2 linked regions of the Arabidopsis thaliana genome follow. The protein of the gene in region 1 interacts with the protein of each later gene in a pairwise test. Each region holds a gene or a part of one and is shown in the gene's direction. Other genes may lie near its edges.

What was found.
Region 2: the proteins of AT2G24020 (region 1) and AT1G28135 interact in a two-hybrid assay, tested with the Arabidopsis thaliana proteins (one large-scale study listed by BioGRID).

The regions. Positions count from the first base shown.
Region 1 is NC_003071.7:10,209,372-10,226,906, reverse strand, and holds AT2G24020 (Putative BCR, YbaB family COG0718), read left to right. Parts: upstream 1-7,438; 5' UTR 7,439-7,637; coding exon 7,638-7,698; intron 7,699-7,921; coding exon 7,922-8,064; intron 8,065-8,201; coding exon 8,202-8,302; intron 8,303-8,393; coding exon 8,394-8,433; intron 8,434-8,655; coding exon 8,656-8,727; intron 8,728-8,814; coding exon 8,815-8,871; intron 8,872-8,963; coding exon 8,964-9,038; 3' UTR 9,039-9,206; downstream 9,207-17,535. Other genes in the region: eIFiso4G2 (MIF4G domain-containing protein / MA3 domain-containing protein), read left to right, coding at 1-293, 385-1,407; AT2G24040 (Low temperature and salt responsive protein family), read right to left, coding at 2,376-2,513, 2,790-2,879; AT2G24030 (zinc ion binding / nucleic acid binding protein), read left to right, coding at 4,897-5,011, 5,274-5,689, 5,779-5,913, 6,023-6,724; scpl23 (serine carboxypeptidase-like 23), read right to left, coding at 9,365-9,511, 9,584-9,689, 9,757-10,238, 10,314-10,402, 10,498-10,590, 10,713-10,808, 10,906-11,013, 11,451-11,495 and 1 more; scpl22 (serine carboxypeptidase-like 22), read right to left, coding at 12,865-13,117, 13,215-13,316, 13,510-13,919, 14,002-14,087, 14,272-14,364, 14,833-14,928, 15,094-15,201, 17,186-17,432. UniProt on the Arabidopsis thaliana protein: Participates with ALB4 in thylakoid protein targeting. May function with specific subset of thylakoidal proteins. Binds to DNA and alters its conformation. May be involved in regulation of gene expression, nucleoid organization and DNA protection.
Region 2 is NC_003070.9:9,822,042-9,838,160, forward strand, and holds AT1G28135 (uncharacterized protein), read left to right. Parts: upstream 1-7,219; 5' UTR 7,220-7,290; coding exon 7,291-7,446; 3' UTR 7,447-7,543; downstream 7,544-16,119. Other genes in the region: GH3.17 (Auxin-responsive GH3 family protein), read left to right, coding at 3,390-3,685, 3,795-3,896, 4,307-5,148, 5,253-5,842; AT1G28140 (integral membrane family protein), read right to left, coding at 10,988-11,086, 11,206-11,304, 11,471-11,541, 11,619-11,982, 12,140-12,349; AT1G28150 (uncharacterized protein), read right to left, coding at 13,081-13,263, 13,526-13,642, 13,730-13,801.

The DNA.
Region 1 (17,535 bases):
TTCTCAAGCAAAAGATGGTGCCTGAGAAGATAGTTCATCATATTGTTCAGGAGCTTTTAGGAGACGATACTAAAGCTTGCCCAGCAGAGGGAGATGTTGAAGCTCTCTGCCAATTTTTTATAACCATTGGGAAGCAACTTGATGACAGCCCACGATCTCGAGGTATTAATGACACGTACTTTGGTCGGTTGAAGGAGCTAGCAAGGCACCCTCAGCTAGAGCTGCGTCTCAGATTTATGGTCCAAAACGTTGTTGATCTTCGAGCTAATAAATGGGTACCAAGGCGTGAGGAGGTAAGATTTTATCATTCCATCTCAAATCTTTTAATAACAGTCTTTAGTTCTTTATCCGTGCTTACGTGTTGTTGTACTTATTCAATGGCAGGTGAAAGCGAAGAAAATCAATGAAATCCATTCTGAGGCAGAGAGAAATCTTGGGATGCGTCCGGGTGCAATGGCAAGTATGAGAAACAACAACAACAACCGCGCTGCGGTTTCTGGTGCAGCAGACGGTATGGGCTTGGGAAATATCCTTGGCCGTCCTGGTACTGGAGGAATGATGCCCGGCATGCCGGGAACTAGGGTGATGCCTATGGATGAAGACGGCTGGGAAATGGCACGGACCCGGTCCATGCCCAGAGGCAATAGACAAACAGTGCAGCAGCCGCGTTTTCAGCCACCTCCTGCTATCAACAAGTCACTCTCAGTCAACTCAAGGCTTCTTCCTCAGGGTAGCGGAGGTCTCCTCAATGGTGGTGGTAGGCCAAGCCCTCTTTTGCAAGGTAACGGTTCTAGCTCAGCTCCTCAAGCCTCTAAACCCATTCCAACTGTTGAGAAGCCGCAACCACGGTCTCAACCTCAGCCACAGCCACAGGCAGCTCCTCTGGCTAATAGCCTGAACGCAGGAGAGCTCGAGAGAAAAACCAAGTCGCTTCTTGAAGAGTATTTCAGTATTCGTTTAGTGGATGAGGCATTGCAATGCGTTGAGGAACTAAAATCTCCATCTTACCACCCGGAGCTCGTCAAGGAAACAATCTCGCTCGGTCTAGAGAAAAACCCACCATTGGTTGAACCAATTGCCAAACTCTTGAAACATCTGATCTCTAAGAATGTGCTGACATCTAAAGACTTAGGGGCAGGTTGTTTGCTCTACGGTTCCATGTTGGATGACATTGGAATCGATCTGCCAAAAGCACCAAACAGCTTCGGAGAGTTCTTAGGGGAGTTGGTCTCAGCTAAAGTCTTGGATTTCGAGCTGGTGAGAGATGTTCTGAAGAAGATGGAAGATGAGTGGTTCAGAAAAACCGTACTCAATGCAGTGATAAAGAGTGTTCGCGAGTGTCCATCGGGACAGTCTGTATTGGATTCGCAGGCGGTTGAAGTTGAGGCATGCCAGAGTTTGCTCTAAAAGTAAATTGGTTTGGCCGGCAAAGTCTTAAAATGTTTACTTGAGGAGTAGTCTGAATCATTTTTCTTATATAAGTTTTGAGTTAATATCACATACTTGGAAGATTTGGTTCAGTTTTGTTACATCTTTGTTTTTTTCGTTCATCTTGAGTTTTGAACATTTCAGGGTGAGGAGAAAAAAAAACACAATTTGTTGATTGTTATCTTATTCTTAGTGCCTACACAATTTTTGTCTTTGACATTAATAATCTAATTAATTGTGGGATGCCTTAATTCAATTTCAATCATCGTTGAAACTCACTCAGGGTAATGGTAAGTATGGTACTACCATTATATAAATATAGTATGTATTAGGACTAGGGTAACATATAACAATGAAGATTTGATTGTATTCCTCACTGTTGGAATTCTCTTCAATATCGAATGGACTAGGGTAAATATAGTAATCACTGTCACTATCTTCATCAAAAGACTCCACAACTTCTTCTTTCTTCTTTCCTGGAAACAACTTAGCAAAGCAAAACAGGAAAGAAGAGAAAAGAAGTGTGAAGTCTTCAAGTGATGCAATAGCTAACAATGGTTTTAAACTTTTCTTCCTGTTTTTGGTATTGTCGTCTTAGTCATCTTGAATTCAGAATCACTGTCAGTCTCTGTTTCTTCACCAAGTGTCTTTGTCTTCTTCACTGTTCAGAGAAAAAACAGTGTTTTCTTTTTCCTCTTCCACTTCAGTGACTGCTGAGCTAATTTCTTTAGCTGTATCATAGCGCGATAGATACTGACCTTTAATATGAGGGCTCCATAGGCAAATAGTAATTGGGCATTATGCATTCATCATTCATCAAAGTATATAGTAAAATAAACCACAATACCTGTGTCTTAAAAAAAAATGGTATTATTATCTCCAGGATACAAGTAAATTACACTTTAAAGTACAATATGTGTGCTCAAGAGCAAGAATCAATCAAGAGGTCAAGCAACATAGTAGATTGGGCGTCTGTATTCATCAAAATACTCATCGCGGTGCAAGAAACAAATTGCGTAAATTGCGTATATTATTCCTGGTAAGTAGCCTAAGCAAGTCAGTATCAAACAAATGAAGAACTCAACCTACAAGTTAAACCAAAAAAACATGAGTTAGGAAAAACAAAATTTAAAAATTTTATTTTTTAGTCCCTTAATTAGTGTTTCTTTTTAACAAAAACACCACAATTATATTTTCAGTAATTGATCTCCACATTCATCATATTGATTGGTTCCCGTAAACCGGAGTGCAACCAATTTCAATTTAAATAACCGTAATCAATTCAATTTCAACTACGGTTTCGATTTCTGAAATAAGAAGCTGTGAAAGTTCAGAGATCGATAGAGAGAGATGAAACTTACAGTGCAACAGCCATGCCTGAGACAAACTCCGACAGGAGGAAGAAGAATTGCGATGAAGATCTCGCAGCAAAGCTCGCAACTACTCGCCATTAATTTACGGAGATTAGATCAGATTTGATGACTTGAAAAAGAGAAGAAGAGAGAAGCTTCACGAAACAAACAACCACAAATATAGTAGGTGTTGTGTCCAGCGACGTGAATCTTAATAATTAAGATACAGAGTGTACCGCGAGATCTTTAACCGTTTATTTTGCGGGATTTATTATATCCTACGGTTCGTTGTTGATATCTTTTTGGGTATTGACGTATGACGTCTGTTTATTGGTTGACTCACGGGAGCTTTGGTATGGCTTCACTTACCATACTCTTTCATTATTTAATCTCATTCCAGCTGATAAATGATATTACTAGATGAGCTACATTGCATTATCTTGGATTATAATTGTGCCAAGAAAAATTTGAAATTTTTTTAGTTGTAAATACAGTTAAGATTATTAAGATATCATTAAATTTAACACATGCACAATTTAGTCATTTTGATATTAAATACATCGATGTGAATGTAAATTAACAAATACAAAAGAAAAACAAACAAAGTTACATCAAGATAGGGAATCCATATGAAGAACCAAATATATAAACAAACAACAGCCGGAAGCATCCTCTAGATTACAATATTTGGATGCATAATCGAGATGCACCATTCAAATAATAAAACGAATAACACCCTAGTTGTTCGAATATGAAAAGACATACTACACTTTTTAAAGAATATAGGACACTCCAATCATTATTAACTGAGTTTAAAATGAAAATATGTCATTGTTATGATGCGAGTTAAGCGGCTTGAACTAATCGCTAGAACTTATTATATATTTCTTCTGTTGCATGAAGTTTGATGTTGTAGGTTTTTTTTCACAAAAAATTGATGGTTTGTATAACATTATTATTACTTTTAGCTGTGATTAATAGAGAAAACAGAGAAATAGAATTAATATTATTAAACAAGACAAAATAATAATCAAAAAGTATAAAAAATACCTTTTTTAATTTGTGTAAAAAACCTACAATACCAAACTTATGAAACAGAGAGAATACTACTTTTTTCGGGACGCCAATGATTTTGCCGCTTAGCTTAATAGTAATCATATGTGAGAATTTTAATCGGTGATATATTGGTAGGCAGAAAATCATCTCCATAAATTAAAGATAATTGTTCAACCACCTAAAATACATTAACCTAAATTTTAAAAATCGTTTGAAATTCTCACTTCACAAGTCAAATCCCTAGTAAGTTAGTAATCTTATATAGACAAATCGAAAGTTGAACACGATTTTAAAATTTGGTTGAATGTTTCAAAGTATAGAATTTTTGTAAGATTTTGTTTTAAGAATCTGTTTGAATTTGAATAATGCGGGTCAAACCTCTACAAAGTTACAAAAAGATAAAGATTGAACAAAGTTTTTGAATTTGATTAAAGCCCTTGAAAGATTAAAAAAAATATTAGCATAATTACCATCTACAATACATTGACTAAAATTTAAAACTTGTTTTTGGTTCCACATAAACCAAATCCCTAGTAAATTAGTAACTTTACATAGAGAAATCCGCCAAAAATTGAACACGCATATAATGTAATAATTGTAATCTCTTAAAATATTAAAACTCCCTTTAACATAATTTTTTTAATCTAAAATACATTTATTTTAAATTTTTGTTTGAAACGCCACTACACAAATCAAATCCCTAATAAATTTGTAATTTTATATAGAAAAATCCGTCAAAGATTGATCACATAATGTAATTTAAAATTTTCAATAAAACAAGTTTTTAAGGAAAATAGAAATATATTTAAATCTTATCACAGGTCAAATCTCTAATAAATTAGTAACCAAATTTGCTAAGTATTGCATATGATTAAATTCCATATTGTTTTTAAAAAATCTCTTGATATTATCACAAGATTCACAACAGTGAAAGAAAAAAGGGAAAAAACAGAAAAAAAAAAGCTATCCCTGTTATTTAAGAAAAGTGACCGACCAGAAGGTAAAAGCGATTACAAACGATAACCCTCTTTCTCCGCTCTCTCTCCAAATTTTGAATTCGATGGAATTCAGATACAGAGCCATCGATAATAATCGCCCACCTCCTGCGACGGACACGACACCATCTCCGTCGCTGAAACCGAACTTTCCTTTCTTGTCGGAACGATCAATGCCAGGTTTGTACTGTCTGTGCATCGTATTTTTTATCCATCCCCGACAGAGAACATTGTTATGATTCTGCACTTTTCGTATTTTGTTTGGTGATGCGATTGTCTATAGGAGTTGATTTGTTGAGACCTGTTTAGTTTCTGTAACGTAAATTTTGAGTGTTTGTTTTTTCATGTTTTGATTTCACGAAATTGAAATCTGTGTGAAAAATCTGAAGTTTATGAATCTTCTCATGTCGAAATGTGAAGTGATTATGAACCTTTTTCGTAGGACAACAAAGTGAGGATCAAGTTCGGGAAGCGATCAAACGAGAAATTGAGAAAGAACAAATCCGTCAAGAGATCATTATCGCAGAAGCAGCGAGAAAACGAGAGCTTATAGCTGAGGTTTTACAAGAGATGGCTATCGAGAGAGAAATGGCGATACGACGAGTTTCAGACACGGAGATGTCTCTAGAGGAAAAGCTAACTATGTGGATCAATCAAAGGAAGCTTCCAAATCAAAATCAGAATCAGTTCAACAACTTTTTCAGACAGAAGTATAGTTACATTGATTCTCTGATCAACACAGGCTCTTACAACAGTCTACTTACATCACCAATGATGCAATTGCCTCAACTTCAGCAAATGTCTGAAGCTACCGGAACATCAATGTTGGAGTCTAATAAAGAGAATTTGATTGTATTGGTGAGTTCTTTAAGTAATGGTAAACATAAATGATAGAGTATATATAAGCCTTTGTTTCATATGTGTTCTCTTTGATTTCTCTATTGCAGAATAGAGCTGATATTATAGGAGCTAAGCCTAAAGCAGACAGTGTTGGTACCATGCAATTGCCTAAACTTCAGCAAATGCCTGAGGCTACAGGAACATCAGTTTTGGAGTCTAACAAAGAGCAGTTTATTGTATTGGTAAGTGTTTTACTACGAGTGTGATATCTCATCTTTTCTATCCACGTACTTTCCTTACTTGCTTATAACAAATCCTGACCATATGTGTTCTCTTTGATTACTATTGCAGGCTAGAGCTGATCCTGTAGGAGAAAAGCGTAAAGCAGAGGATATTCAAACTGGTTTGAACGAAGATCTTCAAGTGAAAAGGCCGAAAGCAAAAGAATCAGAAGCAAAGGCGATGTCTTTGGAAACCGGAGAAATAGTCTCTTCGAAGGTTCCTTGTTCAGGGAAACTTGGCAGTGGAAAGAAAGCAGAAGGTAAGCTAAGAACTAACCAGAAGTTTTGGTGTGAGATTTGTAAAGTTGGGACCTATTGTCAAATAGTCATGAGGGATCATGAGTTAGGTAAAAAGCATAAGGCTGCTGTTACACAACAGAATGAGACACCTGAAGCTGCTTCAACCTCCTTATCCCCTGCTTCCGTTACAGCACCGCAACCAGAAGCCATTAGAGTATGTGAAAATGCTAATCCGCAGGGTCAAAAAGTAGATGAAATTGCGGCGAAAGAAACAACGGGAAAGAAGACAAAAGGTGAGAAGAAAAAGAAGGAAACGGTTTGGTGCAAAACTTGTAATATTCAGACGAATTCTGAGCAGACGATGAGGAATCATACGCTTGGGAAAAAACACATGGCTTTGCTTGAGAAACAGCAGAATAAACTCATTACAGTCCCAGTGAGATCTCTGAATGCTGATCCAGGACAGAAAGAATCAGTATCTCTAGCAATGGATGATACACAAGGTAAGGTTCATTGCTTGGAGAAGTCATAGAAGATTCTTTGTAACTTTGTTAGATTATTTTATATCAACTTTTTTTACCAAAAAAACCTTTGTTAGGTCATGACAATATACCATGAGGAATCAGAGATTGAATTCATGAATTTATTTTTATTTTTTCTTATGCAATGTGACAGTAGGAGATTTGCATGATGTTTTTTTTGTTGTGAGATTGAGAATCATGAGAATAATAACCAATGCCATTAGAGAGACCAGAATAAGTGTATAGATCATGATTGCATTTTGGAGTGTGTGTTGTCTTATGCTTTTATCATATGTTTTACAAACTTACAACTGTACAAGCAGAGTATGTTTGTTTGGACATGATACGATGATAAATGTCTTCTTTCAGGAGAGGCCCAAAATGGTTTGCCTAGAGGTATTTCAAATGTTTGGGGTGAGTCTCTCTATACATAGAGGGTATATAGACAACTCCACAATCAATCAATAGTTCTTCTCGCAATACAGCTCCACAAGACCACAACACATATGACCATGTCCCATACATAGAACCACGAAAGATGGTTCTATTGTAGCATGTTTTTTTTTTTTTTTGGTTTAATGAAGCATGTTACAATCTCTGATAAAGTTTCATCTATACTAGAAATTGAATTTTTCGAAAATCGAATCAATATCTGATGTAAGAACATTTTACGTTTGATCACTCAATTTCGTACTGAAAGTGTATAAACTTTAAAGTTGCGACTTCTTCACTAGAAAAGAATGGTACAAAAACAATCTAAGCTCAAAAAAAGAGTTAAAGTGACGTGGCGCAAAATCATTGGTTAAAAGCTTCAACAAACACAGAAGCTACGAACAAGTTGCCCGGAAAAAATTAGCTTCCGGTTTTATCTTCTCGAATTTCAGAAAAAAAGCCCTTCTCTAATATCTCTCTACTCGTACAACAATGGCGTCGATGGCTGCAACCACCAATTTCACCAAATCTATGCTCTTTCCATTCTCTCATGGTTAGTCTCTCCTAAATCCCTACTTCTATCTCTCGCTTAAGGTTTCGTGACACTGGATTTTGAGTCTTTATGTATCTGTCGTACATTAGGTTTCATCTGAATTTGCTTAATCTTTCGTAATTAGACTTTTCTATTCCATAATTGGAGGAATTGAAGCGTAATTTTGTATTTATAAGTGTTTTTGGGATTGAAATGGGCTTTAGTAATTTTTTGGTTTGAATAGTTTCAGGAAATGCGAGCTTGAATTCGCAGAGAAGAACATGGCCAAAGCAGTACAAGTCTAAAAATGGTTACAGGTCTCTTCGAGTGAATGGATTATTTGGAGGTGGAAACAAAGATAATAACAGTGAAGATGGACAATCAAAGGTTGGTACATTACATTGGTTTTTTCAAATATCAAACAGATTCTGCAATAGGTGAACATTTTAAGTTAGGCTTCATGTTGTAAAGATTCAAAGTTTATGATTTTGGAACTAATGAAGTTTGTGTGTGATCTTTCCTAGGCAGGAATATTTGGTAATATGCAGAATATGTATGAGACTGTGAAGAAAGCTCAAATGGTTGTTCAAGTGGAAGCTGTACGTGTTCAAAAAGAGTTAGCTGCGTAAGTCCGGCACATTTATCATACAAAATTTGAGGAAGTTTTCTTCTATGAGTAATGAGTTTTGCATGTTGGTTTTGTTCCAATTTCGCAGCGCAGAATTTGATGGTTATTGTGCAGGCGAGCTTGTCAAGGTCAGTTTAGAGCTTGTTTTGGCCTTAAGATAGATCAATGCACATAATAGATCAGTGAAGTATTAACTAACGTTTACTTGATGATGTAAGAACTGTGTTTTCTGATTTGTTAGTCTTTGGATGATTTGGCAAGAACTCCACTCTAGAATCTCAAAACTTTGTTTAGTCTTTATTGTTTCTGTTACAAAGTCTGATGACCTAAACCTTATGAATTTGTGTCAGGTTACGTTATCAGGTAACCAGCAACCAATCCGTACTGATATTACCGAGGCAGCAATGGAACTAGGTTCCGAAGTGAGTAACCATACGTACCTTGTTATGGAACAGTCAAAGCTAATTCATCAGTTTCTCTTGTTGATGTTGTGTGTTTTCCTTTGGCAGAAACTATCACAACTTGTCACAGAAGCATACAAGGACGCACACGCCAAGAGTGTGGTGGTATAGCAATTTGCAGACCATTTATCACAATGCAACTAAAGTATTTGTTTCTATCCATTTCTTCTAATTGAACTTTGTGAATTTTTTCACAGGCTATGAAAGAGAGAATGAGTGACCTTGCGCAGAGCTTAGGAATGCCACCGGGTCTCAGCGAAGGAATGAAGTAAGAAGCTGTTTTTGTTGTTTCATTTCAACTTTCAGGTATGAGAGGTTCGGCTTTTTTTGTTTGTTTGTATATCAGTCAGGCAGAAGCAAAGAGCTTTGTACTCTACTCTTATGGAATTATATATAAAAGATTTGAAACTTTTGGTTTTCTGCAATTTTATTCCCAAGGTATCAACACAATTGTTCTAGTATCAACATATATCTTCTTCGAATACAAGAATGCTTTTAGTGTCTTATGAAATCAAGTTGATTTGAAACATAAAAATTTCAAAAGAAAACACCGAGTTAACTCGGGTTTTGGAGGGAGCCTTCTATCTTATGTGTGTGACTAATAAGATCTTGGAAGCTCTTTGCCGGCCAAGAACGATCTTAAAAGAGTGAGAGCACGCTCGGGTTGCAACACCGGCACTTCGTGGCCCGCCCCTCTTATCGTCGCAAAGGTAAGCCCCTCATATACCTCTGTCCATCCTCCCACCTGACACCACCACCATGAGAAATCACTAGCTCTGCATAATAAGAATAGAACCACGAATTTGATGAAAATTACCTGCTTTTCGGAGTACCAAGGGTACCAGGGAGTTTTCACCGGAAGATTGAGTTTACTGAGGGCAAGTCGAGTCCCAGTCACTGGAACCACTGCGTCTGTATCGCCACTACATCAACAAAATGTGGTTAAAGGACACGAAAGGTACTTTACTTGCAGCTAGTTTCATGGTTTACCTAAAGACCCAGATCCTCAAACCAGCGGCAGTGAGTTCCTTGTATATCGGCAACATTGAAAACTCGGAATCTTTCCAGTTGTTATTCACAACCATATTGCACAATGTCCACTTATAAGGAATGGAGGTAAGATTAGCGTGCATAGCTCGTTGCACATCAGGACGGTTGTAATATATCTCAGCGTAGCTTTCGGTACAAGGGTCGTACTCGTATTCCTCTACCAAAAGCCGTCCATGCAGGAACTTGGTCTGGTTGGTTTGATGTACACATGAGGGTGAGTAGATGCTGTACCCATTGACTTTGCCAAACTCTCTGTAGGCGAAGTAGAGTGCCCAATTGCACTTGTCCGAGGTTTTATCCGCAGTGAAGCTGCAGTGTTTGAGGATAGACTTGTAAGTTTTGTCAGAGATCATTGCGTGTGACCACGCATACATGGCGGCTCCTAATCTGTCGTAATGCTTGTCCATATCTCCATTTCCCACCTGTGCAAAAGAATATATATGCATTAAGGAGGGATTAAGGTTTCGGAAATGTGATAAATAGAACCGTAGTTTTACCATGAATCCTTTGAGGTTAATGATGGGTGTATTGTTGAAAGCTTTGTTGTAGAGATGGATCTTTTTGGCAAGCTGAGGAACATAATGACCTATAAAAGATATAGACATGAAAATAAGTCTATGGTCTAGAAAATGACTTAAATAAAAACCATATTAATTCTGACTTGCTTCAAGAGTGACATACCAGCGTAGCTTTCACCAACAATGTAGAAATCTCTATATTGGTACTGAGGAAATCTCGACATCCATTTAATTAGAAATATCAAATTTTCCTGAGCTGCAGATTCAATTATATGTCAACATATTAAAATTAATAATGTAATTTCATTGTTAACAAAAGTGTATCCTAAACTATTACCTTGATAACAAATAATGTTTGATAAAATATAAGAAACTGACCAGTCCGTTCGTCCCCAGAATCTTTAAGATCAGAGCTTGTGTTAGTGTACGAAAATCCAACTCCAGCCGGCGATTCAAGAAACAAAATATTCGCTTCTATTCATTACAAATAAAAGATTCAAACAAACTTCATTGTTGTATAACGAACGATGTGACTCCAGAACAAATGAAACTATAAAGAAAAAATATTAACCTGTGTTCCACGTAAACTTGTTGAGATAGAGATTAGAACCGGTTTTATTGATCCGAAACGGTCCAATTTCCTCCGAAGCTCCATAACCAATCGATGAGCAACCCGGTCCTGCGATTTTATGTTTTCGTATTATTGAAGACGTAATTTTATTAAAATCTAGTGTCATTAGAACATTATTTTTTTGCTATTTTATTTATCATTCACATTCACATTCCAGTTCTTCCTTTAGCTTTAACTAGGCATATATTAGTGAGAAATGGGCACTGCTGCTAAAGTGCACGCTGGAAAATGAATTGTGGAAGACTGGAAGTAGGTGGCAACTGGCAAGAGTACGAACTCCAAAACTCAAGGAGATTATATAATGTTTAATCTTTCGAATAAACATTTATATAAATAAAAATTATAACAAGAAAAAAAGAAGTAAAATGATGATTATAAAGGAGGTTGCATGTTTCATTTATGAGAATCATATTGGGTTGTTGATGTTCTTTTGGTGGACACCGATTTGTTTCATCCACATTTATATTAATGATTGAAATTTTTACGATTACATAATATGAAACTCAGGGTAGGTTTTGTTGGTTTAAAAACTTAATAGATTCAAAAAAGTAATGTTAGTGGATTTCACTTTCTTTTCTTTTTCTTTTGATTAATATTTTATGTAGGTATATACAAAAATAATGTTTGTTTTTTTTCTCTTTTTTTTTTCGAGTCTAATCGTTAAGATTATTGATATTCCCTTATCATTGGTAAAGGGTGTACCATATTGTAACCAATTGGGGATTGGTTAATTAATAAGTTAAAGCAGGACAAAAATAATTACTCGCTCTCTGACCAATGAATAACCATTACCGTTTTATGCTATTACTAGGACCGAGCATAGAACAGCGACTTGTTTTATTGCAATTGTTTACGTTTACATTTCCTTAACGTTTTACAAATTTTGTTGCAAAAATCTATCGATATTTTCTGCAAATTATATTAAATTGAGATTATTATTATTTATTTATTTTTGGCGTTTTTTCAGATAGTTTAATTTGGAGTTATTATGAAGATATAAAAGAGAAATGCATGTGTGCACATATATGAGCGGAAGTGGGGAGACAAAAGAATTAAAGAATGTAATCTAACCTCCATTGAGCCAAAGAAGAAGTGGTTTGGTGTGAGAAGAAGAAGGGGACTCTGTAAGCCAGTAGAAAAGTGATCGACCATGTGACTCGTTCACAGTCACATAACCCGAAAACTGTGAGAATCCTACTTGCGGTTGCCCTGGAAGTGCCTTGATCATGTCCTCCTCTTGCTCTCTTAATGATGATGATGATGATGATGTCGATGAAATCACTAGTAGTATAATGATTAAGTGGATTCTTGCCATTTCTCTGTCTTTCACTATAGTCTCTGCTTTTTCTTCAATGGGTTGGAATGGAGGAGGATGTGTTGGTACCACTAATAAATTTACTTTTATATATATGCATGTAAGAAAGATATCGGTTTCTTTTACACAATGTGGACCCTCTCTTTTGACAATTGATCGCATGATAACTTTTAAAACTTTGTTAGTCGTATGTTCTCTCTTAATTTTACGGTCAAAGCTACCATTAGATGCTTCGGGTAGACCAATTGTAGCTTTGACAGTAAAATTAATTGTCAGAAGCCATCATAGACCACATTTAGGGATTTGCTGATTGAAATGAAAGATTATGAAAAAAAAAAATATTGGCCTAAAGAAGTCCTAAAGAACCCTAAAGAAATCAAGGACTCTGTTTTCTCCTTTTTGTAAGGGTTTTGAATTTTGTTTCTTAAAAAAAGAGGATTCAGCCCATTGGCCAATAAATTTTTCAGTCAGTTGCCAACATTAATCACCTCCCCAACATCATTCAGATTCGTACCTTGAGGAACACTTCGTTTTGAAGGTGCCTTAGTACACCAGTGGAGCTACAAATGTTGGGTCACTATTCACTAATAAGATCTTGAAAGCTCATTTCCAGCCAAGAATGATCTTAAAAGAATAAGCGCACTTTGCGGTTGGAAGAATGGCACCTCGTGCCCCGCCCCTCTTACCGTCACAAAGGTAAGCCCCTCGTATACTTCTGTTCGTCCTCCTACCTGGTTTCCGGAGTACCAAGGGTACCAGCGAGTTTTCACTCGAAGATTCAGTTTGCCAAGGGAATATCGAGTCGCTGTCACTGGAATTACCGAATCTGTATCACCACTGCATGGAGAAATGTGATTTAATGACCAAAATATGTGTTGCTATCATGATCTTTTATAACTAGGTGTCTAGGTTAATATACTGAAACATAGTGTACCTGTAGACCCAGATTCTTAGACCAGCAGCAATGAGTTCCTTATATATCGGTAACATTGAATTGTCGGAATCTCTCCAATTCCAGTTATTAAAGACAGAGTCACTGTAACAAACAGAGAGAACAAAAAAAATTGCCTGGTTTTTAATAATTTTATAACTGAAGTTTGACCTAGAGTCGTTAGTTTGGTTACAATTTGGTTCAAGAGTTTCTTGTAGTATACGTTAGAATAAAGTTATGAACATGTGATGAATAACAGTGGTTCAAGAGTTTCAATGTAGATGAGCAGTGGGAATACCTGCAAGCAGTCCACTTATATGGAATGGCAGTGTGGTTAGCATGCATAGCTCGTTGTACCTCAGGACGGTTATAATATATCTCGGCATAGTTTTCGGTACAAGGGTCATACTGATCTTCTAAAAACCTTTTAGTTGTGTGCATTTGCATCATCTGCTCAAACTTGGTCTGGTTCGTTTGGTCTTGTGGTGGTACACACTTGGGTGTGTAGATGCTGTACTGATCGATGTCGCCAAAGTCGGCAGCAGCGACATAAATGGCGGAATCGCATTCTTTGGAGAATCTATCCGCTGTAAAATCACAGTTTTTGAGGATGCGATTGTAGGAAGCGTCCGAGATCATCGCGTGAGACCACCAATACGTTATCGTCCCTAGTCTGTCGTTGTTTTTGTCCATCTCTGGGTTACCAACCTTCAAGGAGATATTAGGGACATATATGAATATGGAGTAATAGTTTTGGAAATGTGATAAATAGACCTTACTTAGTTCTTACCATGAAACCTTTAAGATTGATTACTGGATTTTTGTAGGCGTTGTTGTACTCATGAATTTTTTGGGCGAGCTGAGGAACATAATGACCTGTAAAAGTAGACGTTAATATATACATATTGACAGTTTTGGTTAAATCAGGTAAGAAAGACATGAATCTTGGTTTGTTTTTTGTTAAACAAGATTAACTAAAAACCATTAAACCATATAAAATCTAATTTGCTCTAAGAGTATGTATTTTATTGTTATATATCATATATGCATGGTGACATACCGGCGTAGCTTTCACCAACAATGTAGAAATCTCTATACCGGTACTGAGGAAATCTTGACATCCAACTTATAAGAAATATCAAATTTTCCTGAGCTGCATACACAATTACACTATTAATTAATTAGTTTCTCTTAAAAAGAACAAAAACAAAAAAGAACTGAATTGTAATTATTAAATTTTATAGTCTTATGTATATTTGCAATGCTGGTTAATGTCAAGACTCATATTGAGAATTATAATCTTCATGTGAAATTTTAGTAGTCAAATCCATAGAAAATCGATTGCTAACATAGGCCATGAGGTTAACAAATTGACACTAAGGAATTATGAGTTTGGTGCCATCAGATTATTGATGTGGGGTCTAAACATATTTCTTAAGATAATAATAAATCTTCTGGTTCATCGGTAATATCCATTTGGATGGTACTAGAGGTTGTTACTATATGCGAAGAATAATTGAATTTCTATATTAGAGTTGATCTTTTCATATTTTTTATGTAGAATCTTGAGAGATAGAATATTTCTTTTTATATATATATATTTAGATGAAAAAAATCTGACCTGTACGTTCGTCTCCGGATTCTTCAAAATCCGAGCTTGTGTTAGTATATGAAAATCCAACACCAACAGGCGATTCAAGAAATAAAAGGTTTGCCTCTGTTATTACACATTCAAAAATGTTATATAACTTAATTACAAAGTATTAAGTATATAGAAACAGTTTTCCATACAACTAATTTTGATAGTTGGAGTTGTGAAACATAGTGACTCCACAAATAAAGAACTAACTTGAAGCATGTCGAAAATTAACTTAGTGAGTACCTGTGTTCCAAGAAAAGTTGTTGAGATAAAGATTGCAACCGGTTTTGCTGATCCGAAATGGTCCAATTTCCTCCGAAGCTCCATAAGCAATCGACGAGCAGCCTGGTCCTGCATAGTTTAATTACATGTATGATCATATATACACAAAAATTGTTATTTGTTTTTCATATAGAATCCCTTATAAATTTTCTTTTATCATTAATAAATACAATATAACTTAAAAGGTCAAATATTTTTATTATATACATGTAACATTATTTTGGATAAAGAAGCAATTGTATGTTTTCAATTTTCTGTCTCATTTTGATATGTACTCGACTGATGTAATTGGTTTATCAAAAGACGGCCATATATGTATGTTTCTGTCATGCATTCTTATCAAATGTCAAGAAGAGAAAGAAAAATAATTGAAAAGTTGATGTCTGAAAGTGATCAGAGGGTTAGAGATATACTTATATAGATGTTTGGCCAATCATGCCTTTGCTTTCTTTGTTTTGTGGTCCTGAGATGAGAATGGATTATATGTAACAAGGATCTTTGATCAAATGACTCTACTTTTAAGTTTTCATACATCATGCCGGCTTTTGTTTAGTTAATAATTCTTTTTATTATTATTTCAATGATTAGAAGAAACTATTTATGTTCTTCCTTAATTTAGTTTTTCTTTACCCCAATCTTAACTTATTCTAGCTTTGCCAAAATTTCCAACTAATCTCAAGAGTATATAGGCATGTTTCCAGGCCTATCCTAAAGGACAAACAGGCTAAGCAACCGCTTTGGATCACCAATTATTCTTTTTAATGATCATAGCCTATGATTTGACTAATAACTTCATTTTATTAGTCAAATAAACTATTGTCCAATTTAATTGTTCTTGTTTTTTCTTTATTACTATTGGTTTAGCAAGTAATATAAAGGTTGGCTACATTTGCTTTAGTTTTCTGTCCGTTTAAATTTTAGTATATACGAAAAAGATAGTATATCCATGTTTTCATGTCGTTGTCAACTTGTCATGCACATTCTTTGAATGATGAGGTTTTGTAGCCGAAGAGCATATTCCAATTATTATTCCGTACGGATTATTTTAGTGAGGAAGTGGACATTTGCTCAAATGCACGCAAGATTGGAATTTTTCATATATAAAACAACATAAAAACTAAAAAAAAAAGTGCATGTTTCTTTTTGTTTGTTTTTATAACAACAATTGCATGTTTCACTTATTAGAGTCATATTGGATTGTTGATGCTGTTTTGGTGGACATTGATTTGCTTTAAATAATGATAAAACATAAAGTGTTGATATAGGTATTTTTGATATTTTACTTTTAGTTAGTCTATTTAAGAATAATCATGTAACATGTTAATGAGATTTGACGTCTTCCATTTTTTATTTGATGACGATTTTATTTCAGTACATCGCCGATTTGAATTGAAGTGATGACATAACAATTACACTAACACAAATCACTAGGGTACATATGTTTTTTAACGAGGATTTAGGAATATGTTTGTGTTGATAAGAATTATTTTCATTTTTACGTATTGCAAAAACATAAGCTATACTAAGAATGTAATATTTCTTAGTGACACATTCTAATGATTTCTTATATTGTTTTAAATTCTATATATTTGGTATCACAAACTTCTCTGGTGTCTTTGTTTTGATAGTTACGTCTCTTATGTTTTATTTAATTACTCTATAACTATCAATTATAGAGAAAGTAATTTTTATTTTCATTGTTTTTGGCAAATTGATGAGTTGTGGCCGGAGTTCATAGGTGCCGAAAATCTTTCCAAAATATTATCGAATTAAGGACACAAGGTTCTTTTTGACCGATAGCTTCCGGACTTTCACTAAGCTAAGAACCACTTGGTACTCTTTGTTTTTTTTTTTGTTTTTTTTTTTTGGTTTAGTTGGTTAAAGAATTATCAGAATAAAATTGTTTTTGATTTGCCAAAAATAGTATTTTTGTCATTCTATACCAGATCGAGTTTGAATACTATGATACATTTGGATATGGACTCAGTGTTCGAAACATATTTTGGTATAAATATAAATATACGAGGGAAAGTGGGGAGAAAAAAAATCCAACCTCCATTGAGCCAAAGAAGAAGTGGTTTGGTGTGAGGAGAATGAGAAGATGACTCGGTGAGCCAGTAGAAGAGTGATCGGCCATGTGACTCGTTCACTGTCACGTAACCCGAAAATTGTGAGAATCCTACTTTTGGTTGCCCTGGTAGTGCTTTGATCCTGTCCTCCTCTTGCTCTTTTGTTGATGTTGATGATGTTGCTAATGATAAGAGCACAAATAGAAGAAAGAGTAAGTGGGTTCTTGCCATTTCTCGTTTTCTCTCTCTTTCAATATTGTCTCTCTTTTTCGTCAATGGGCTTTGTTAGACCAATAGAATGAAGAATGACTTGTTACGACCACTCATTTTTATA
Region 2 (16,119 bases), on another chromosome or scaffold:
TGATTTTTGGAGACTTGTGGGTAAACTAACTACTCTTGAAATGTGAGACTCACATGTAAGTCTTGTTTCGGTAATTAATCTCTAAATTTTAATCTTATGTAACCCTACGTTAATAGACCGAATAATATTTTTTAACTTGAGTAAATCGAAATCAATACTCATATTACTAGATTATAATCTCATATCATATTCCTAATTTTTATTGTATTTTTTCTGTTTCTCTTATTGCCATTTATCTGAAATTTTCTTTTTAATTTATTTTCTCTTATGGTTTTGTCGTGATTCAGGAGTAGTAATTAATTCACGTCATGCGCGATTTAATATGAATTTAAAAATGTTATCTCAGTCCATGAGAAGTAGTAATTGTGTTGTGCGTATTGGTTTGAAGTAGTCCACCAAAAGAGCAATAAATGCAAAGCTCGTAACTTTGACCTATTTTTTGTTTGTCTTATTACACTACTGATTTTTTTTTCCTTTGCCATGTCTATACAGTATACACTATTATTCTCTCTTATTTTTCAATATATGAACTACATAACACATTTAATATAAACAACATGCATTAGTTTACATTAGATAGAAAACTTAAGCTGTTACATGATCCAGGACTTTGGTATCCTAGTGGCATGTCCGCATGTGTTGCAATCTCTTAAAACTCTCAAACAGCAACTACAACATATTCTACATAGTCTCTAGATTTGTTTGGGTCAACCATATAGTCTCGAATTTAAACGTCAAATTCACAGTACGTATATGGTTCTTAACCACTGTATGCCAATTATTATCACTAACCCTTTCAATTATACTGTATTTGAAACCCGAATCTTATATTAACCTTAGCGTTTTAGGCTTAAGTTTATTGTTGACTTTCGAACTGTTAACATACTTTTATGGGTGTATATATATGACTTATGCTACAACCAACTTTTGATCCTTTAACTTCTAGCATAAGTCCATGACTGTAGTTTCCAATGGATATGCTTAGAATCCCGTTGACATATATTTTGAGTGAAGAATTAGATGATGAACAATATAAAAGTATTTAAGCCTTTTAACAAAAATATAAAAATATATTAAAAAAAAATCCTGTTAATAAATTCTTTTACGGGAATGACCAATCAAAATATATGTGGGCTTATTGTTCCACGAACCAGGATGAAACACATCAGATGATACATCATTCAAAGGTTTTGCGAAAGTTCTTTTTATCTAACTAGGATTTCGGATGGTTTGCCTAAAATAACATAATAGAAGAAAATATGGGCGTTACGTATCAGGAAAATATTATCACAAAACAACATTTCAAGAATTCATTACTTTTAAAACAGAAATAGTAAGGTTAGAAAATATTCAAAAAGAGTGCATGTCTTTTAAAGTTGATGGGTCGGTCTTATAGATTGCGCATGTCCTGTATCTCTCCCAAACATTGTGGACCGGTCTATGTATTTGTGAAAGGAAATATGCCAACTTTTACTAGTCTCTCTCTCGCATGTGTGTGAGTGAAATAGTTTTAATATTTCAAATTTATTTCCAAAACAATTCTTACAAGGATTATCAACTGCGCAGCTTAAAAAATCCAATTATACTCAACTAGTATTATCACTCTATAGTTCAGAATACTTTTCTTGAAAATATGAAATATATATAAACTATAAATTTTATGTTTTTATATTATTTAATGAAGACAATCAATGGGATTAAGACCATTAACGTGTGAAACATAAGACATATATGATTTATCGTAAGGTTGAGAATCTATGTATGCTTTTTCAGGGACCAAAAGGAATATATAACATCCCTTCAGAAAAAAAAAGATTTACATGATTTGGGTTGTTACGTTTCAAAAAGAAAATTAAAACTCTAGTTTAAAATCTGGTAGATGTTTCAGCCCCTTGTTTAATAAATCTGAAACGAGATTCTCACCATCATTTTTTTGGGATAAATTATCACTATTATTTTCATATATATGTTATTTTAAATTGATTATTAATTATTTAGTAGAATGGTATAATCATGAATTATAAACAAATACGTGGAATAAAATAACTAAATCGAGATGTTTAATTAAATCAACTTAATTGTCAAGGAAAAGATTTATTTTAGTTTTATCATTAAATGACTAAACCAAAATAAACTAAGCAATATAAAAAGCCTAAAGCAAAGGAATTGACGAAACATGCCTAAAGTGTATGACATAGCGTATTTGAATGAAATTTGTTCACGAGAAAAAGATCATCTTCTCCAAACCCTCTCAGGCCTCTTTTCTCTCTGTTCACATCTGTTTCCTCGTCACACAAGACATATACATTAACCTAATTCAACTGTTCCATGTCTTTTAAAGTTTTCTTGATGGAATTAAGCTGATGCATGTTATTTTATGTTGTAATTATCATCATTTATGGTTAGTTAGTCAATTGGTCTATTTATATTATATGTATATCAACGTAACGACCCTATCATATGCATTTGGATCTGCATCACCAAGATGATGACTTTATAATATCCAAGAGATTTAACAATCTTAACAATCCTTCTCTCTCTTAATCTTGATTGCCATAAGTCAAACTTGAGATTATTTAATTACTATATGGAGCCCAATTATCGCATGTAAATGAGGTTAATATAAATAGGCAGATTTAAACTAACATATATGTCAATGGAATTTGAATAACTAAGAGTTGTTTAGTATTTCACAGCAATGCAAATATACAGGTTTTAAGAACAATATGCAAATGAATTTAAGGGATATATAAAAAGTTCTTAAAGAAAATTCCATAGCCACATATATAAAGAATTTGTTAACTTAAGCTATCATATACTTCTTTTTAGTATAAACTTTATTTGAAAAATTTGCATGTGAGTTCATAAAGGTTTCAACGAGTTCCTAAATAAAATCTAGCTAAGAGGCAATATTAGATGAGTATAGTGAAGACCAAGTGAGTATATCTTTTGGCAGACATATGCAAATCTTGTGAATATGATTGGATTGATATTATTCAACGGATCATAAAGAAAGAGCTTGATTGGAGGATTAAACAGCATATAAACAAATATGATATTAAACAAAAAATAACATATAAAATTATAGGGAAAGCCTGCACAGGTAATATTGACCAACAATAGCTTCTTTCTAACTAGACAAGGCCATGTGTGTTGTAGGACCTCCCAAATATATATTTTCTAATAATTATTTCATCATTTGCCAATTTATTATATAACCATTTCTCATCCTTCTCCTCATACCACCAAAAACCAACCTTCAAGAACAGAGAAGAAGTGATTCTCTAAACAACAAAAATAAAATAAAACTCTTCTTTCTCTATTTCTGTTGAAGGTACCTCATCATTGCAACACAAACTTAAAGCTTTGTTTGTGTCTGCTTTCAGACAATGATACCAAGTTACGACCCAAATGATACAGAGGCTGGTCTCAAGCTTCTCGAGGATCTGACAACAAATGCAGAGGCTATCCAACAACAAGTTCTTCACCAAATACTCTCTCAAAACTCTGGAACTCAATATCTCCGAGCATTTCTGGACGGAGAAGCCGACAAGAATCAACAAAGCTTCAAAAACAAAGTCCCTGTGGTGAATTATGACGACGTAAAGCCTTTCATTCAACGAATCGCTGATGGAGAATCATCTGATATCGTCTCTGCTCAGCCCATCACAGAACTCCTCACTAGGTAAACATATTTTTTCACCAAATTCTACAAAAACTATCGTTATATACTGTTCTCTTAAGAATTTTCGTTATACTTATTAGTAATTTCTTTGAGTTAATATTGGATGCAGTTCGGGGACTTCTGCAGGAAAGCCGAAGTTGATGCCTTCTACAGCTGAAGAATTGGAAAGGAAGACATTTTTCTACAGCATGCTTGTGCCTATCATGAACAAGTAATAAATGAGTTTTTATTACTTCAATCTTAATTTACGTAATTAATTTTTTTGTTTTGTGCATTAATATCTCTTAAATTCATTCTCATTCCAAAATAAAAAAAAAAAGAGAAATACAGAAATATTTCTTAAGAAAATAAAAAACACAATAGTATATAATAATTTTTGTAGCATCCAACAGAAACAATATACGTAACCAGCTCTCTTATTGGGCTTAAAACATTTAGGAAATATATTTGGCTTCTCTTTGCTACAAAACACCTTGCAGATTGAATATGTAGGATCCTAGTTACACTCATGAGAGGGCAAAAATAAATCAATTATATCTGTTTTCTTTAGTCAAAAGATTAAAACAGTGAAGGAATTTTTTTTTGATAGATTGGATTGTGTTTACATATTTGAAATTGCAGATATGTGGATGGGCTAGATGAGGGAAAAGGGATGTATCTTCTATTCATAAAACCAGAGATCAAGACTCCGTCAGGTCTAATGGCCCGTCCTGTTTTGACCAGCTACTACAAAAGTCAACATTTCAGAAACAGACCATTCAACAAGTACAACGTCTACACTAGCCCTGACCAGACCATTCTTTGTCAAGACAGCAAGCAGAGCATGTACTGTCAGCTTCTCTGCGGTCTAGTACAGCGATCTCATGTCCTAAGAGTCGGAGCTGTCTTTGCCTCTGCCTTTCTTCGAGCAGTCAAGTTCTTGGAGGATCATTACAAAGAGCTTTGCGCTGACATTAGAACCGGTACTGTCACTAGCTGGATCACTGACTCATCCTGCAGAGACTCGGTCTTGTCGATCCTTAATGGCCCAAATCAAGAATTGGCTGATGAAATTGAGAGTGAGTGCGCTGAAAAGTCGTGGGAAGGAATCTTGAGGAGGATATGGCCTAAGGCTAAATATGTTGAGGTGATTGTGACTGGTTCGATGGCTCAATACATTCCGACACTAGAGTTTTATAGCGGAGGTTTACCGTTGGTTTCAACGATGTATGCTTCCTCTGAGTGTTACTTTGGTATCAACCTTAATCCGTTGTGTGATCCTGCCGATGTTTCCTACACGCTTCTTCCTAACATGGCTTACTTCGAGTTCTTGCCCGTCGACGACAAATCCCACGAAGAGATTCACTTTGCAACTCACTCCAACACCGATGATGATGATGATGCTCTCAAGGAAGATCTCATCGTCAATCTTGTTAATGTCGAAGTCGGTCAATACTACGAAATCGTCATCACTACATTCACAGGTCAGTGACTCTCTATACGAACACAATCTAGGTCTGATGTGGATTCCTAAAACGGATAGTAACTTGTAGCACAAGTGACCTGTTACATATGTTTTTGTCAATAGGTTTGTACAGATACAGAGTAGGCGATATTCTAAAAGTGACGGGTTTCCACAACAAAGCGCCTCAATTCCGTTTCGTGCAGCGAAGAAACGTTGTACTAAGCATCGACACTGACAAAACGAGCGAAGAAGATCTACTAAACGCAGTGACACAAGCTAAACTAAACCATCTTCAACATCCTTCAAGCCTCTTGCTCACGGAGTACACAAGCTACGCAGACACGTCATCAATCCCAGGGCATTACGTGCTCTTCTGGGAGCTAAAGCCACGTCACAGCAATGACCCACCAAAGCTTGACGACAAGACAATGGAGGATTGTTGCTCTGAGGTTGAGGATTGTTTGGATTACGTCTACAGGAGATGCAGGAACAGGGACAAGTCGATTGGGCCATTGGAGATAAGAGTGGTGAGTTTGGGCACGTTTGATTCGTTAATGGATTTTTGTGTCTCACAAGGATCATCTTTGAATCAGTATAAGACTCCAAGATGTGTTAAATCTGGAGGAGCTCTTGAGATTCTTGATTCCAGAGTTATTGGGAGGTTCTTCAGTAAGAGAGTTCCTCAATGGGAACCACTTGGTTTAGATTCTTAGACTTTACTTCTTTTTCTTTAATGTATGATTAAAGTCTTGATTTTATAAGTATAAGATCTTCATTTGTTAAGTTGCTAATTGGTGTTTCTTTTTTTAATTGTTAAGCTTTTGTCTCTTTTGTAACAAACTTTCAGCAAAGTCCTCTCATTTTGTGAATGTATACTTTTGTGTCTCTTTCTTTATTATTCTTTGTCTCCCTCTCTTTTTCGAAAAGATTAAAAAAAATCGTACCAAACCCTTTACATAAAATCTAGCTCATCTCTTTTTTTCTTCATAGGAATGGTAATATATTCATATTGTATACATAAATCGAACATAACTGAAAAATAAAAACAGAGATTTTAAGACCGAAAAAATATTATAAAAGAGAAACTTTCGAAGTTCTCTTTTGCAATATATCTACGTTAGTATAAGATAAAGATGAAAATAAAATGAGGAGATTGAAATAATTGGATAGAGAGGTGAAGAGTGACGTATAGATGCACATGAAGATGGTGATGGTTTAATATGCCAGCCAACACACAGCAACATCATTGAGATCCACATTTCTTTCTTACATCATTTCTATTTTTTTTCTTGCATAAATCTCAACTCTATCTCTCGTCAACAGTTTTCACTTTTCTTTCTTTTTTCTCTTCTAAAATCCTGAAAATAATTTATATAAATGATCGTTACTTGTACTAGTTGTACATGTAATAAGTGTTGAAGTTGATTAAAACCACACAAAAAGTTTTGTTATGAATTTAATATAAGTTCACTAATATATGCAAAACCATTGTTTAATATGGAAACTATAAAGATTTTCGGAGCAAATTTCTTCCAAGTGTTGACATTTAACAAGTCTTGGATTTGTTTTCAGCTCAAAGTAGGTTTAACTCATTATTAGTAGAAAACCATGTGCCTGAATAGTATTGTAATGTAAACTGCAGAATATAAAATTTTAAGAATATTCGAACAACAATAAACGATGTGTGGTCTTATGAAATCATTATTATATAAAATAAAAACCAAAATTCTTTATATCAGCTATTCATTTTCACATCATAATCTACCTTTTCAAATTGTGGTTTTAATGACATAATTAAAATTAAATATACTAACTATATGAGTATTTGGTAGGACTACCAACGTATATCTATTACTACATTTAATGTCTGTTTGAATGTGGCTGTCGACATACATATATAGCCGTAAAATTTCAATATACAACCTATGTTAAGATATTGGATGAATATATTTTAAAACAAATCGATATATTACCATGATTTGATTTTTATAAAAACATTAAATTTGTAGAAATTTTTCTTGAAACTATCATGAACAAAAAAAACAGATGACATAGGTTTTGATCTAAATAACAATACTGTTAAATATATTTTGAACCAGATTGGCTACCGAATTCAATTTTTCTATTGGGGCTATAGGTGTTCTCCCGGGGAAAATAACCAATGGAGTTGATTACGTTGCTCCTCGCAGTTCTCCCTTTAACACCAACGGTAGATAGGAACCGAAATGTCTCACGACAATCTAAACCCAGGGCTCAGGCAAGAAAACCAGGGAAGCGTGAAAGAGCTCACTCGTCCAAAGTTAGATCTAGCGAATAGCGATAGCGTTTTTGTTTGTATAACAACTTGTAATCCACACTCATAGTTTCGGATATTCAAAAGTTTGATCGAATCAAAACGGTAATGTGGCTAATATGCCCACCCACCCCTCGTAGCTAGATTCATCGTAAGAAATGAATTGAAAGCATGGTAAAATAAAAGCAAAGCATGGTTAATGTGGAAGTAAGTAACCGACAAGAGTTGGATATGATGGATGTGTTGCTATAAAGAGTAAATGGGGTAAAAGAGACAGATCTATGACCCCAAATATTAAAGCAAAAGAAAAAAGGGAACAAACTTAACTGTTCACTTAAGAGAAAACGATGAGTTTCCTCTCAACTGTCCTGTCATGTTACTTTCCGTATCGCTCTCCAGAACAAAAACGCTGTCGTTTTCGTCTCGCTACCAACACAAAACCATTGCAACCCCATCTAATCCTGCTGTTTCAGTGTATATAAAATAAATAAATAAAACTGTTCATTGCATGTAAGTCTGGAAATATATACACGTATTGTCAACTTAATGACAGATTCGAATAATGCATTTTTCTTCGATAAGAATCTATCCACAATAGTTTTGATTAGAGAGCGAGACCCCATGAAAGTTAGTGTCTGAGACTTTATCAGCTTGTAGCCTTGTAGTCCTAACCACACTTAGACGTTGTGAATCTACAGTGGTCTATTCCAAAAATAGTTTATAAACATTTTATTTCCGCATTCGTAAGTCGTAACCCGTCCTTTTCTGTAGAAAAAAAACTACGTTAAACAAACATCATAGAAGGCTAGTTTTTATAGACAAATTAGGTATAAGTCGCACAACAAACCCAAGGTTTAGATGATGAACACAACTATTTCACTATCATAGTTAATCAAGGTGGTTAATCAAAGGAATTCTAGATCGAAACTCATAACTGTTCTCGTTATAACTAAATAATCGAATTTGATCAAATTTTGGGGTAAGTTCTCGTTATAACTAAATAATTGAATTCGATCAAATTTTCGGATAGGCTCGACTACGCGTTCTTTTGGAGGGGTCTAATACTCACCACTAGTCCAATACTCATGTGTAATATAATAACTCAATCAAGCTTTTTTTAGCTACTATAAATCATATAAAACTAGTCAAAGAAGATGTTAAATATGACGTTGTTATACTCACATGCAAAATAAAGTACATTTGTAACTGTAAAAGTTTTAATAATCAACGAATCATGGATTGAGAATAAATTTATGAATGTAGCTGGGAGTCATTAAAACTTTACTGCATGTTAATTTTTCGAGTTAAAGCATCCTTAATAGACTAATGGTTGAAAGTTTGGTTTGTTGATATTAGAAAGAGAGTATCATTTAAACCAAAAAAAAAGAAATAGAGTATCATGACTCTGGATTTAAATCCTGAATTGATAAACGGCAAATGCGCAGTAAAATGTGTTTGTAGTTGCATTACTACAAGAGTCAAATCCAAAACTACTAAATTTGTACAAACTAAATAGACATGCGGCCGAGAATACACACTAAGCTAAGAAGAAGAAAACTAAAGAGAGTTTTAAAGTTTTTCTTAAGTCTAATTATAATATCAAATCATAAACAAAGCAGACGTGAAAGATGCAACTAAAAGTGGAATGATTAACTAAAAAGGCAACAAAGTCGACATGCAAGCTAAACAAAGAAATGGTTAAACTCAAGATTAATAAATTGATCTATCGTTTTAAAAGTAGAAAAAAGAAAAGGAAATGTGAGCGTGTGTGAGCCGTGTTATGTAAAGGGAGAGGCTAGAATAAGGCCACGAGTGCAAGAGGGAACAAAGAGAAGCTAATAATTAGAAGGTTAGGGAGAGACTCAAGAAATGAAAAGAAGAGACAAAAGATAGAGAGAGAAGAGAGACCCACAAAACAAAACACACACGAGTAGAGATGCAGCATTAGACACGACTCCTCCTTTTTCCTACGCACGCAATTTGGAGCTCGTCCTCATATTGGAGGTAGGGACTCTCCTTTAACACTTGCTCTTTCCCTTCTCAGTTTTGGTCGGATTCATTTCATAAATCTCTCTCTCTCCCCCATTTTCTCTCTTATCCAACTTCTTGTCTCTATTTCCAATTCTAAAGAAACAAGCAAGATTTGGTAGAGATTATATGAAAGATTTATCTTATATACAATAACTTGTGAAGTAGAGACTCAAAAACCTTAGCAATTATTGATTGTTCATAGTTGTCACATTTTGGTCAAACTTAGCCATGTATCTAGTATCTACATTGGACCGTCCAACTTATGCATATTAATCTAGGTATTTTTGAATAATTTGTAGCCATGTTAATAAATGACAAAACTCCTAGAAGATTGAGACAGAAAGCAACAAGACTGAAGAGAGAGAGAGAGAGAGAGAGAGAGAGAGAGTGTGTGTGAGACCATAATATTAGTATTAAGAGTCGACCATATTAGTCGTACTCTGAACACCGCATTTAACACCCCACTCGTGTGTCCTGTCTTTCAATTGCTTGTCCCGATTCACGTTCAATGACAGAACCTTATTCCTAATTTCACGCTCGTTGTTTGCAAACTTAACAACTCTTACTTAGCATTTTCCTATCTCCATTCCGGAAACCCGCATACATCACAATCATTGTTGGCCTAAAAACACGCTAAATCTATTTTGACACACATGAATAGCATGGACTACCATGGAAAAGAGACCTATATCCATTTAATTGTAGGATCATGCGTCTTAACTGATATTCGTTTTAACCATGGTCACTTTCCTTCAATATGGCTAATAACAGGCCAGAGGACCGGAAAATCTGTACGTTATACTCGGAAGTGACTGGTTGAGTTCATAATTGTAGGAGTAACAAGATTTCTAATTTTCTACCCTTGTAGTTCTTATGGATCATAACTTTAGACATCTTAATACCACAGTAACACGGTCGGACATGTTTCCTCGGTGAAATACAACTCACAACTAGGGATTTTGGGTTGAAATTTTGCGGACAGCCAGGCTCGGTTCTGGATAGGACGGCCCGAGCTGGACCATTTTCATTTTGTCACAATTGGACCCCGATTAAGTCTAATCCCGCTTTTTTCATTGCACTTTCCAGGTAAGATGGGGGCCATAGACAAACAAGACCATACTAAATCCTAAAACTCAAGCCTAAATAAGGACCGGCCTAATCAGTGCATCAAATTGAGCCGGGCCAGGTTGGCCCATCAAAACACACTGAGGGGCAAAATATCAAAAATAAATAAAACTACAAGGGGATGACTTTAAACCGGGTCCAAATCCGGGTCCGACTGAACCAGGTTGCCCCATTTTTTTTTTTTTTTTTTTTTTTTGAATGTCAAAAAAGAAAATATGAGATGCAACCAACTCTCAATCAGGGAATGGACATTTTGATGGCATTTGTATTGTCACTTCTAAGCTACTAATCACAATCTACAAACTGTGTTTATGGTAGCATTTCTCCTCAGTGGTAAATAGAATCTATGGATACAAAATATTTACCTGTTCTTGAAGATGCTTAAAACATTCCACTATCATTCAGATTCTTACCCCAACTTTTCTTGCTCGAGCTTTTCAACTATAGCCTTCTTTTCATCATCAGAAAGGGACATGAACGTGAAAACAGATTTATCTCCGATATCATCCTTCAAAAACCAAACAAGATTATAGATGATTAGTATTATGACATTTTGGTACTTTCATAAATAGCAAAGACCTCTATGAAAGCTTGTACATGGCTTATCTTCAGAGAGGAACAATGTACCTTAATAGGCTGAGTAAACTTTCTTCCAGCAAATACTAGAAAGAGAGCCATCCATGTTCCTAGCAACACCAGTTTTACCTCATCATTCATCAGACCACTCTGCAAATTCAATTTACCAATTTAAGTCAGGCCAATTTAACAAATACCAAGATCCCCCAAGTTAAGGAAATTTGAAGCTTTCTCTTTAGAGAAACGACGCAGCAGATTTGATCTCAGGAGTCTAGGCAGCTAAAGCAGGATATCTTAATCAAACAAGGTACTTTACCAAATGCCCAAGAAGAACTGAAGGTATGATGAATGTAAGAAGGCCAGCTTCTAGCTTTCCATAACAAAGACCTGCAGACAGAAATTACATATCAAGAACATTGGCACGGTTAAAGATATGAAGCCTTATGCAGAAGCAAGATATTTACCTTCTTTGAAAACGAGTCCTGTGAGAGATGCGAATAGGGGACCAACAAACCAAACAGCGGATGGATGATCAACGACATAATGAACCAAGTTATCACCAGCTGGTCTAGCAAGGGCTGCGTAAGTAGCGAAAGAACCAACAAAACCAAGTGCCCATAAAGCTTGAAGAGTCCTCTTAATCTCCGTAACATATATATGTATTAGAAACAGAGATAGCCCCAAACCACTAGCACCAACAAAGTAAAACAGATCATGGTTTTGCTTGATTGTTTCACTTAACCAAGAGTCTCCTGGTAAAAAGGCAGCAGAAGAAGCAGCTACAAAAGATGCAGCAGCAGTTACTAGTCCTGATCTGTACAAAATAACCTGAAGAGAAAAAGGTACTCATCAACAACTTGAGCTACCTCTAAACTACATGACTATGAGAATATGAACAAATTGGCCTAAAACTATCAAAAGGATTCAACTTTGAGGAACCCAAGTGTGAATTGGGCAGGAATCGTAAGGAGAGAAGAGAAGAGACCTCTTTGACATCGGCTTGGTCAATGGTCCAAGGACCGTAAACACCTTTGTAAACGGTTCCATCGACGGCTCCTTGCGAACTATTGCTCACAGCCTTAACGTTAGCCCTTCCTCTTCTCACCCCAACTCTGGCCGTTAAAAACGCCGGCGATTTGTTGAAATAAGCCGGCGGTGTGACGAGTGTCGTCGTCGATAGCAAACGCGAGGCCATAAGTCACGAATCGAATTCACAGAAGTCGTACCGGTTTGGTCTGGCATAGCTTGCTAGTGAGCCAGATTGATCAGAGGTATCAAAACGCGGTCGTTTGGTTATGAGTCTTAATGTCTTATGACGTGGTTGGGTTGAATTGGTTGAAATAATCTGTGGTTATTATCATTTCATCGTCATGGACAAAATTCAACAGTAAGCTAAGAAATATCTCTTATGAAAAAGATCTTTTGATATTGTCTTTAGTTGTACATTTGGTCTCTTCCAAATTTGCGTAATGCAGAGACTTACCTGGATTCAGTAATCAGTACAAGTATCTCTGATTATCCACAAAAATGATTGTAATCTCATTGAAGATTCAACCAACAAAAATAAGTAGTAAGACCTACACTATAGCCACACAAATACCTATCTCAAATTTAGAGACTAGACTATGGATGATACAGAGTGAATGTAAAATCTTTGTGTTGTATAATTTGTCAGATTTTACGCCTCAATGCAAAAGCCATCTTGTTAGCTTGATTTGATTCGACTGATCTCCAACACTCTAGCACTGTTTAGATCATCACTATCTTGATTCAACTACCAGCAAAGAATGTCATACTCAAGGACATGACATACCTCTGTAATGTAAAAGTTATACATAAGAGAGTCTGTTTCTTTCTACATAAAGAACACAGGGGTTACATACAAAAGGTCCTTGCAGATGGTAAATACTGCAGAACCAAGACACCTCATTCAATCTCTATCTGTTGAGGAGAGTCTTCATCATTGGAAACAACCCCATCTGCATCAACTTCTTCTTCTGTAATACCCGAGGCTTCAACTGTTCGCGTCACCCAATCCTTGAGCGGCTCTTCGTTTAGATCAAGTCTTAGAAGTCCAGCAAACATCCCACCCAAGAATGCAATTGGCTCCTATACAAACAAACCACATTGAAACAGAGAGCATTTGATGCATCAATACTACCATCCAATATGAAAACAAACAATGTAACACTTATCTAAGGATACATATGTGAAACAAACAGACAAAAACCCTCCAAGATTGATCAACAAACAACACACAATCACATCACAAAATTGGGATATCAATTGCTTAATTGCTATCTGGAACAACTCATCCCAAGTACAGATTACGGAAAAAGAATCAATTTTGTCATCATCTATATAATTGTACCTTGAGAGCTTCGGAGAGAATGGGTTCTTGAGGGAGATTGAAACAAGATGATTTCGAAATTAGGGTTCTACGAGTCGGACGAAACCAAAGTTCATTGCTTTTGACTCCGGCGGAGAACTGAAAATTGTGACCCACAAAAGAGAATTGTTAAACAGATTGTGTAATTAGAAAATCAAAATCAGAAGACGAAGAAGGAAGACGGACCTGGTGATGGTGAAGCTGAGAGACGACGACACCCGAGGACGGAGGACAAGTACAGATTAAGACAAAACCCATCTCTTCTTCTTCTTCTTCCTCGGCTCGGCTCAGAAATTATCTCTATCTCAAAAGACTGAACCAAGACCACAGTGATTTCTCAATCTTTATTTTATTATTTTTAATTTAATCAAACCTAATCTGAATTTTTTTAACCAGAAAATAAAAACGAAACAAACCAGAAAATTGTGCATTTGCATTGAGGATTTGGGTTAAATCCGACGTTGTCCGTATCTAACATGAATTAGCCGAAATTTTCCGAATAAGCTGAAGATTAATTGGTATTATTTGCGTAGGTTAGTACTTAGTAGTGTATATCATAAGGTCGGACAATTATATATTTGTATTTCTCTGTTTACAATCTATAATATTACAGTGATGATATTTTGTGACTTCTTTTATACATAAACCGCATTCGTAACTGAATTTTGCTTTTCTATATAATAGTTCCAAAACTCCAAGAGAGAAGCTCATCTAACGGGATTAAGTAAACTAATGGTTTCATTGGTTTGTATTTTTATGTCTTTTTCAACATTATTTCTTTCTAAGGGTTATTGTTTTCGGGGATTTTAATATGTTTGTTTGTTTAGTTTTCATAGATATTTTTTTCTATTGAAATGTGTAAATTTTTATATAATATATTTCAGTTGAAAGAAAAAAAACTAACTAAATTTAAATTTCAGAATATCTACATATACATTTTTGCAACCATTTTAGCAAATAAATCCTCTACTTGACACTTATTTACAATGGCATGCCATTGGCATTATTTTTTTTTTCCTTAATTATTTGATTTGATTTTTAATTTTTGATTTAATATATCAATCACATTATTCATTCAAATTTAATCCAAACAACTAACTTTAAATCAAATTCCTTAAAATTAGCTACACATGATTATTTAAATGATTATTAATATTATACTTTATTAAAAGGTAAATATTGTAATTATTTAAAGTTTATAAAACGTTTATAATATTTATAAAATATAAAACTATATGTTACATATAGAGAAATATTTTAAATGTGAAATTTATAAAAATCAAATAACTATTTGAAAGACACATTTTAAATTTATTTGAATTATAAATCTTTTAATAAAAATATTATTTAAACAAAACAAAAAAAATAATGTTTAATTTCACCGAACGGGATTAGATGGTATGACAGGTTTAGAATATTAAAATATATGAACTTTATAAATTATAACAATTAAATAACCATTTAAAATAAAAAGTTTGAAATTGATTTGAATTATATATATTTAAAATTAAAGTATTATTAAAACAAAAATAATAAAATAATATTTAATTTTATTGAACGGGGTTAGATGGTAGGACGAGTTTGAGTTGATAGTAATATGAGACAGTATACCTAGGATGAAATCCATTAAATATGTTTAATTTCATTGAACGGAATTAGATGGTCAGACGGGTTTGAGTTTATAGTAATACGACACGTTATACAACGGGTGAAATCCTATAACTAACAATTAAAATACAATGATATAATTTAAAATATATGACAAAAAAAACAATCTTAACAAAAATCATATATAATTTTAAATTTTAAATTTTAAAAATCGACTTACGGTGTATTCCATGATAAAATCAAGGGATTGTACAATATATAGAAATTAGATTATATATTTATAAATACAAAACAATATGTTACATATAGATAATTTATAAAATAATATATTCTTAGTTACTTTTAATAAAATAAATAGTTCTGCGGTGTACCGCGGGTTAAAATCTAGTATTAGATTAAAACTCTAAGACCAAAACCAATATCATATGTAAATCATCTATATATTATAGATTAGTTAATTTTTACTTTGTGTACTATCATTCATTAAAGCAAAAATTAAAAAACCCGGAAAAACTCGACTAAATTGAAAATTCATTGAATATCAGTAGTATTTTTCAATCATATGATACTATTTTCTAGTGTTTTTCACTTTCTCGTTTATTTCGTGCTACTTAAGTATTGGTTGTATGGTTTGTGGAGCTTTAATGTGTATGTTCATTGATACATTTTGTATTATCGTTTTCAAATTAATAAAGAATGAAGATGTTAAAAATATATATATATATATATATATATATATATATATTATGACATTATTCAGTAATAATTATACACAAAAGTAATTCATATTCACACGATATATCTCTTGTTTATTTTCTTTCTTGGATAACGAACATGTTCATGCTCATGCTACTAATCATTATAAAAGCATTGAGATTAGTCATATGAAACGCCACAAAAAAATAATTAAGAAGACGATAAGGAGTAGTTTTATATAGCAAAGTTTCTATATTAGAAATATAAATATC